Cricetulus griseus: one gene and its partner. Each later gene encodes a partner of the first gene's protein in a complex. Links are inferred from orthologs where the notes say so. Each region holds a gene or a part of one and is shown on either strand. Other genes may lie near its edges.

Region 1 (4,241 bases):
TTATCCTTTGTTTTGTTGAGACAGGGTCTCACTGTGTAGCCTTGACTGCCCTGGAACTCAGAAGACTAGGTGACACTGGAATTACAGGTATGCACCACAGCTAATCTCTTTGTAGGCTGGTCTCAGAACTACAGATCCTCCAGTCTGAGCCTCCTCTGTGTTTAGATTACAAATCTGCTCTACCACACCCAGCTTTGATTAATTTTGAAAATGCCTCCTTTCATGGGGCCAGTAAGAAACTACACAGCAGTAGCATAAAATGCTCACATGTTAAATAAAAATAAACTTCAATTAAAAATGATGAAAATCCAAGTTTACCAGTTAGCCTCTCCACTAAGTATAAACACAAATTTAGAACCTGACACTACCTTTAAAAAAAAGTGTCAACAAATTCAAAACCAAGATATAAACCCAGGATAGTCAGTCCTACAACCAACTTCAAGGGTCCATATACCATTAAAAATGCAAGTAAACCTCAGATTCAGACAAACTTAGGTTTAAATTTCACCTCTGCCACTTCCCTCCTACATAAGCTACAGAAGGCTTTTAAAATTTCATTCTACTTACAGGTAAATGGTAATAATGAAACTACCTACGTCAAACTTAAAAAAAGAAAGCACAATGAATTTGTCAAGTACAATATTATATATATATATATATATATATATATATATATATATATCTCATAGTGCCTCCCCTTTTTTAGAACCTGCAACTTAGAACACAAACTCCTAAAGTGTAAAAAATATTGAAAACTTATTCCTGAAAATCACAAGCCAGGAAACAACAACAAAGAAGCATGATTTAAGTATTGGTCTTAAAATATCATTTTTAAATCTTCTATTTCTGATCCCACATGAAACCTCCTCCTCCTAAAATAGTAAAAGTCTACTGGGTAATTAAAATAACAAGAATGTTAAATTTTCAAATTACTGGTTATTTAAATTTAACCTAAAATTCTGGCCATTCTTTTCCTAAATTAGAAAATACTGTTATAAAATATGTATGTAAAACTACTACAGAATACTTTTACCCAAGTCACAAAAATGCTGAATTTAAAATTAGAATTAATTTGTTCCCAACATGACACCAGTAGATGATCCTACACAATATTCTGGGAAGTAGTGCTCTAAGTGTCAAGAATAAGGAAATCTTATCATTTCATTTTGAATATTTCAGGCCTCTCCAACAACATGGCAGGTCTACATTAACTCCCACACTAACTAGTCTGTCTTTGACTATCTTTCTAGCCAACTGAGCTACTAATAACCATACAAAAGTAAACGACAGGGAAAAAATCCCTTTTAAAAGATGTAACATTTAATTTTGCATGCAGTGCACTGTTATATTTTCAATCACCTACTTAAAACTACTCAATGTTACATATGTAAATACTGCACAGCAACTTTTAGGGACTTAAGGTCTAGTTCTGTGGATTAAGGCAAAGGATGCTGCAGGTCCAATACTGTTAATTTATCATCACTTCCACCAGAATGCACAGAAGACAAAACATTTCCAAAGACAAAGATGAGGCTGACTTCTGAATGATCATAGATGGAAGGAAACGGAACCCTAATTTTGGTGCAAGGACACTGTTTAAAAACATTCTTAAGAACTGAGTATGTTTCCCACATGGGTGTGCTGGTCTGGAACTTTAAAAACCAGACACTTAACAGAGGACATTTCCAAAGTGCACCACACACATATGTCCGTCGAGTTTGAAAAACGTCATGGTCTTTTCCAGGAAACGCTCAAATTTATTTAGCAAGAGTTCTCTCCCTCCTCGCCCCTAGGTATGAAGTCTCCACAGTCGCCAAAGAAAACGGGCAAAAGAAAAAAAAAAAAGTCTTAGTACAATGATCAGATTTCCTATCACTAACGTGAGAACTTGAGTCCTGCATCTGGTCCCACTGCTGCCACCGCATTTAACACACAGTAAAAGGAGTCGCACCCGCTCTCCCTCCACACAGAGCTGGTCCTATCAGGAAGACAGGATGTCACCAAATCTGCCCCAGGGGGAGCGGCAGCTAACTTGAGCAGAGAACAACTATGGGGGCTGGGGGGCAGAGAGGTGTCTTTGTGAACAATACTACCTTCCGGGGGGAACATGGGAGCAGCAATTGAAAAGAAAAGAAAAAAGGTAACGATGAGAAAATTAATAATAAAGAAAAAGACCGCAAGGGGGGGAGGTGAGGAAGGGAGGGCAAAGGGGCGGGGTGTGCAGACTGCGACCTCCCGAAGGAAGGAAGGAAACACCCTGAAGAACCAGGAAGCACTTGGCGGCGGGGAGGAGAAACTGCAGGGGAAAGTGAGGGTCGGCTAAGCCGTTTCCCCCGCCCGCCCGCCCGCTCGCCCGCCGGCCTCGCCGTGACAGTCCCAGGCCCGGCGGCGCCGCACGACCCTCCACCGTCCCCGGAGCCGGGACCCCCAGGCCCGGGTCCCGCCGCCCCGCCCCGCCCGCCCGCTCGGCTTCCTATTTTCGGAGCACACACCCTACAAGGAGCGGAGCGGGCGGCCGGGCCTGGCTCCCCCGGCGCGGCAGCGGGCTCGGCGGGCAGCGGAGGCGTGCGGCCCACCCCCCGGAGCCGGAGCCCGCCCGGGGACACGCTCCGGCCCTCGCGCCGCGGCTCCCGCTTCCGGCCGCCCTGCCCCTCGCCGCCGCCGCCGCGGCGCCTACCTTCTCCTCATCCGACAGCTGCTCCTCCAGATCCGCCATCTTCCTTCTGGCGACAAACTGTGGCGCTGGTGGCGGCGGCGGCGGCCACCTGACTTCCCCCTTTCCGTGCGGTCTTCAGCGCCGCGCGCCCCCGCCAAGGGAGGGGCCCGCCGCCCAGGCCGCCGCGCACGCGCCGCGAAGCTCCGCCCCCTCCCCCGCCTCCTCCTCCCCGGGCCTCGGCCGCCGCGCACGCGCCCCGGGCTCCGCCTCCCTCTCCTGCGGGCGGGCGGGGGCCGGGGCCGGAGCCGGGCTGTGCGCGTGCGCGGCGCCTGCAGAAGCCGGATTGCTATGGAGCCTCCTATCCTGCTCCGCTCTGGGTGCCTCTCTCTACCCAGTGGTGACCATATGGACCCCGTTGGCGACGAGTACATGCTGAGCCCGTGACTTTGTTCCCACCAAATCCTGAACGCTGCCAGCGAAATTGTGAAAAGCTGTACCGATGGATGAACCATTTTTAAATGTTAGGCGTGGGGGGGGGGGGAGGAAAAAAAAAAAACCCTGTTCACTAAAATAGAAATACACAATCCAGTCCATAATTGGGGAGATTGCTCTTAATGTTCTCATTGATTCGTTCAACAAATATTTATTGGTCTTTTATGATAGGAAGACTTCTGTGGTAATTCTTAGGAATAAACAATGCAGAAAAAACAACAAACAAAAAACCCAGAGATGCTGCTCTTAAGCTCACCTCTATTAATTAAACATTGAGTTAGGGGAAGGCATTGCGCTCTTGGAAGGAAATAAAATGTTGTTATTTTGGATCTCTGTCCTCATGAACTGGCTGGCCAGAATGCATACAGGCCACCCAGCAAAATTTTCAATTGCATACAACCAATTTTTAAGGTAAATATCCCATGAAGGATTTGAGACTTATCAAAAACATTATTCATTCTTTTCAACTTTTATTGGAAGTCTCTTATTTTTATTTGCCAAATCTGGCAACTCCACTACTAAACCTTCAAGTTTACAGAAAAGTAAAGCTGTAGTCAAAGCTGGAACAGAAAGAAGATGACAATCTTGCTAAAATTGAGTTGCTAGTTCAGTAGGCCTGAGTGGGACCAGAGAATCTGTTTCTTACATGCTCCCAAGTGAGAGGACTGCTACTTGTCTGACAACTACACTTTGTACAGCAAGTACTTGGAGTTCAGCTGGGAATTAAGATTTTATAATTAGAAAGTGAGAAGCCATTGAAAGCATCCAAACGGTGTCAAGCCATGAACAGAAATGTATTCAGCAGCATCAATCTGACAGCTGTGTGTAAATGCCAGGTAACCCTAAGGAGTTCAAATCCATCTTTGCGTCCAAGAACACTATCATTAAGTGGCTTGCTAAAGTGTTCATTCACAGAGAACAGGAAGAGGAAGTAAGCTGACGTGTTCAGGGAAACAGCAAGTGTCCTGTTGAAGATAAACCTGTGGAGACAAGATGAAAGTGAAGTACAGTGTCTGTCTGGCCAACGACCTCAGGAGCTACAAATCAATATCAATTTCCTCTTTTAGGGTTTCAAAGTCCTGGTTTCACTTAT
Region 2 (4,267 bases), about 140 Mb from region 1:
CAAGGGAAATACAGAACCACCTACACACTCAGTCACTCACATTTTTTTTCTGCCACATTATCTATTCGGTGTCATCACCTGGTATACATAGACAGTCTCTGTCCCAGAGACCTCTACCAACCTTTAGCAAATGAGGCAACTGCTCGGTGACCAGTTCCTTAAACTCATTGATGCTCAGGCTACCTTTTCGTCCTTCCCGCCCTGCAAATGTGAAGAAAGTGGTGACCACAGTCTCAATGGCTGCCTCCAGTTCCGTCAGCGGCTCCGCTGCCATTAGTACCACAAAGTAGGAGCTGATGTCCTCACAGACTGACCTCATGGAGCAGAAAGAGACCAAGAGAGTTAGGGATCCCAATATAGGTAAGGTGGCTGCCTAAAAAGGGTCCGTGTGGGAAAGATGAAAGGGTCCAGAATGGACAACTACTTCAGTTGAGGTTCACTTTCAGAAATTATTTTTCTCTTGACTCTTATGTCTGTGTGTCCTTCTTAAGTGTCTGTCTTAGGGAATGCCTCTGCATTGGTCTCTCCATGTGGCAACCACTCTACCTTCGAGGGTAAGTGTCTGTCTTAGGGAATGCCTCTGCATTGGTCTCTCCATGTGGCAACCACTCTACCTTCGAGGGTTTTTCTTTAGAGTCTTCTGAGTGTGGTAACATCCAGGGTGGGGTCTCTGTTCTAATGGCTCTTTCTTGCTGTCACTCCCTGTCTTAGGGTCAGGAAGTCGTTTGTCTCCAATGCTTATTTATGTTGAGACCAGAGTCTCTCCTCGTAGAGAAGCCTAAGGTTGGCGAAGAACCAACTGAACTCAGGTCTGGCTCAATCGGGCCAGACCCATCTTCTCTGCCCCAATCTCTACCTCTTCTAAGGGGGTCTCAGGGTGCTCAGCACCAGACCCCACCGACCTTCCCCACTCCTGTCCATGGTTGACAAGGTCCAGAAAGGGACTCTTCAAACTCCTCAAGCCCACAGCCCACAAGGCGTTTGGCATGGACACCCAGTGCCATCAGGGCTCCAGGAAGGGAAGAAACATGCCTACTCATCCCCCTCATTTCTGTCCACCCACCCACATACTCCCGCAAGGATCTTTGCCTGCTTTCCTAAAGCCACTTCCTGAATCTCTGCCTGAATCCGCTTGGAAGGAGGAACCTGGGAGCTGATAAAGAAAAGAAGGTCTCCAGGCTCTCTGCAGAGTCAGGGAGAGAGTAACTCACCCAGGAAAGGAGTTGGGATGAGATGCGCAAGCAAGCCGAGCTAGAGCCTCAAGGCTGAAGTTTTTAAGCACCAGGGACGGGAGAGAGCCACTCCCAAGTCCGAAGTGTCAAGTTTCCGCCTCCGCTGATTCGGAAAAGAGGGGACCGCCCCTGCTGTCACTAGCCATCCCAACGCTGCGCCACACGTCCAAGACAGAGCCTGCTCAGGAGGGACCTTAGGGTGCCATTCCTCCCAATTATGGGGGCTAATCAGGAGTCGGGGGGGGCTGCTACTACTATTTGGAAAAAAATAAAATAAAAACACTTGGGAAATTCAGCGCTGGAAAGCCCCGTCTGAGAAACCAGAGACCCTGCAAAAGATCCTTCAGTCCAAGGGCACTCGGAAAGCCCCAGGCTGAGGCTCCTATAATAGAACCCCAATTAAAATTCTTCGCTGAGTTCCGAGACAGAAACCCCTCTCGGAGGCAGGCGCACAAGCTAAGCACCCCTCGTCAGAATTCTCCCCTTCCCCTGCTCAGCCCGCACCACGGCATCCTTCCCAGGACTTCTCTTCCACCTCCTTCCTGCTGGGCTCGGGGAGTGGGTGCAACCAAGAACGGAAAGAAACATAGGGCAGCCCGTTCTCGCCTGGGAGACAGAGGGCGCCTCTGTCCACTTCTGGCCCCTTGCCCTTCGCGGTGTCATTTGTGAAGGGGTGGAGCCGGTGGGGAGGAGGGTCGGCCGGGAAGGACAGCTAAAGACAGGTCTCCCCACACCGCTCCAGGTGCCACATTTGCAGCTTGCCTGTCTGTCTGTCGAGAACCTTCTCCCACTTCAGGCCCAGGCCAACCGTGAGTATCCTACCCTGACTAGCATAGATCCCTGGCTTAGCCAGCCTGGAGGAAAGGGGTTCTCAAAAAGACCCCAAGAGCCCTGGAAAAGGATACAGTGTGCCGCGAGGGTCTGGCGAGGGACTGGAAGGAATCAGTCAAGGGAAGTTTGGGATCTAGGGGAGATAAAGTTTGCAAAGTAGTGAGAGGAGGTGAAGTGAAGGTCGGAGAGCTAGGAACTTGGAGAATAAGGATGCCACCCAGCTTCCAAGTCACCAGACCTTCCTACACAGAACCCTGTGTCTCCTGACAGGTACCCCAGTCTCTAGGTGTCCAGAGGGAGGAGAGGCAGCCCTGCTCCTTTAGCGTAAGAACTAGAAGGCTGCTCCTGCCCCCCTCTCCAGCCTTGTCCCTGCTACCCCTAACCAGCCTTGCCAAGAACCAGATCCCAGGTTAGTCTAGGAGCAGGGGGTCTGTGGCACTGTGCCCTGTCCCATCTCTGCCTTCTCAAGAACTCCTCCTTATCCCTTTTTCCAGTCCTGACCCCTGCTTCTCTCTCCCCAATTTTTTTCCTCTTTGTTTTTCCACTTTTGCACCCCTAGGGCCTCCCCTTCATAAAATTCCAAGCTGCTGGAGGGCTCCAGGCAAACCTCCAGGTGCCCCTCATAGATGAGGATGGTAACTGAGCCATCCAAATTCCTCCCTTGAGTACCCTCTTATCCCTTTCATCAGCAGGGCTTGGGTTCTATCTCCCCCTGTCTCTGTGACAACTGCTTCTTGTGACTGGAGTTCAGGTGACAGTCACAAGGGCTCCATTGAAGCGCTGGGATGTCATCTAATCAGGACCTATTGTCCAGTATACCCAGTGGTGAGGAAGGATGAGGACACCTGAGCTGAGACACCTGAGCTGCTGCCCCTGAGACTATGGAAAGCATGACCCTCCTGGAGCCACAGGACGGAGGCCCCCTTGCATGCAGTCCCTTCTCAATAGACCACCCCATTCTTCTGCACTTGCCCAGCCCCTTGAGCTCAAATGACCCAATGCACTCAGTCCTTTATTTAACCCAAACCAGCCCTATTCTGCTCCCACTGTAGCTACACAAACAGAGCTGGCCTGAGGCAGGAATGGACAGCATCAGGGACAATGCCTTCAGGTTAGCTCCCTCGTTAGAAGCTGTCTCCAAGGAAAAACCTCAGACATTTCCCTCTCCCTTCCTTCTTCCTACCTGATGAACACGGGTAGTTTTGCAGAAGAGATGAGTAGAATAGGAGGTAATGGGAAGTATACCCCAGAGAAGCCAAAATGACATACTGAGGAGAGAGGGGAGCTAGGCATGGTAGCTCAGACCAGTAATCCCAGCACATGGAGACAGGATTACCCACAAGTTGAGGGCCAGCCTGAGCTAGTTCCAGGACAGCATAGGCTATAGAATGTGACCCTGCTATAAATAAATAAATCCCCAAGCACAAAAAGATGGAGATAGAGCCAATTGGCCTGGGCTTGATCCTCAATGCCTAAAGAGGAAGACCCATGCTGCTGACAGGAAGAGCCAAAACAGTGAGACGTCCCTCCCCAACAACTCTTGGGTCTCCCACTCAGACTGCCTACCCCCATCAGCTCACCAAAGATACCAGACTTCTTCTTGGAGTAGGCAGTAGAGACATCAGCTCACTTACTACTAAGAGCAAAGTTTGACTGTGACAGGCCTGGAAGGTAAAAATAGAGCTAGAAGGCTGCCTGGTCCTGTGTCCACCCATGCCTGCCCCACCCCACCCTGTCTCTGCCCAGGCAGCCAGGAGCCAGCCACTGAATGTCTGTTGCAGGCTTAAGACAGCCCAGTTCCTATTGCTCAGTCTCCCTGCCCATCCCTCTGAAGAGACCCAGAATGATGGATTGGATTTAGGTGTGCTAGGGTTTCTCCCACATTTCGAAATCTCAATGAAAGATAAAGTACAAGTTGGGGGGGCATCTTGTAGCTGTTTGAGCTGTGAAATCAGGGTCAAATCTGAGGATTCCCTTACCCAGGACCCAGATATCCTAAACCTGGTTTACAGCTTACTTCCATCGTTGTGGGGGTAGGTGTGCTGCTGAAATGGGCTCTGAGCTGGAGACTGCCATGGAGACCCTCATCAACGTGTTCCATGCCCATTCTGGCAAGGAGGGGGACAAATATAAGCTGAGCAAGAAGGAGCTGAAAGACCTGCTACAAACCGAACTCTCCGGCTTCCTGGATGTGAGCAGAGGGT

Evidence for each region. Proteins that work in one complex are often made in the same cells at the same time.
Region 2: the proteins of Capza2 (region 1) and S100a1 are in contact, whole or in part, in an NMR structure (PDB 2KBM), measured with the Rattus norvegicus proteins. The link is inferred for Cricetulus griseus from reciprocal best matches to the Homo sapiens genes CAPZA2 and S100A1. Residues at the interface, in NP_001009180.1 of Rattus norvegicus: Thr267, Lys268, Ile269, Asp270, Trp271, Asn272, Lys273, Ile274, Leu275, Ser276; in NP_001007637.1 of Rattus norvegicus: Ser44, Phe45, Leu46, Asp47, Lys50, Asp51, Ala54, Lys57, Ile58, Glu61, Leu78, Ala81, Leu82, Thr83, Ala85, Cys86.

What each region holds. Positions count from the first base shown.
Region 1 is NW_023276806.1:208,911,696-208,915,936, forward strand, and holds the start of Capza2 (F-actin-capping protein subunit alpha-2), read right to left. Parts: upstream 2,838-4,241; 5' UTR 2,717-2,837; coding exon 2,678-2,716; intron 1-2,677. UniProt on the Homo sapiens protein: F-actin-capping proteins bind in a Ca(2+)-independent manner to the fast growing ends of actin filaments (barbed end) thereby blocking the exchange of subunits at these ends.
Region 2 is NW_023276806.1:64,036,442-64,040,708, forward strand, and holds the start of S100a1 (protein S100-A1), read left to right. Parts: upstream 1-1,464; 5' UTR 1,465-2,041; intron 2,042-4,100; 5' UTR 4,101-4,113; coding exon 4,114-4,254; intron 4,255-4,267. Other genes in the region: S100a13 (protein S100-A13), read right to left, coding at 122-274. UniProt on the Homo sapiens protein: Small calcium binding protein that plays important roles in several biological processes such as Ca(2+) homeostasis, chondrocyte biology and cardiomyocyte regulation.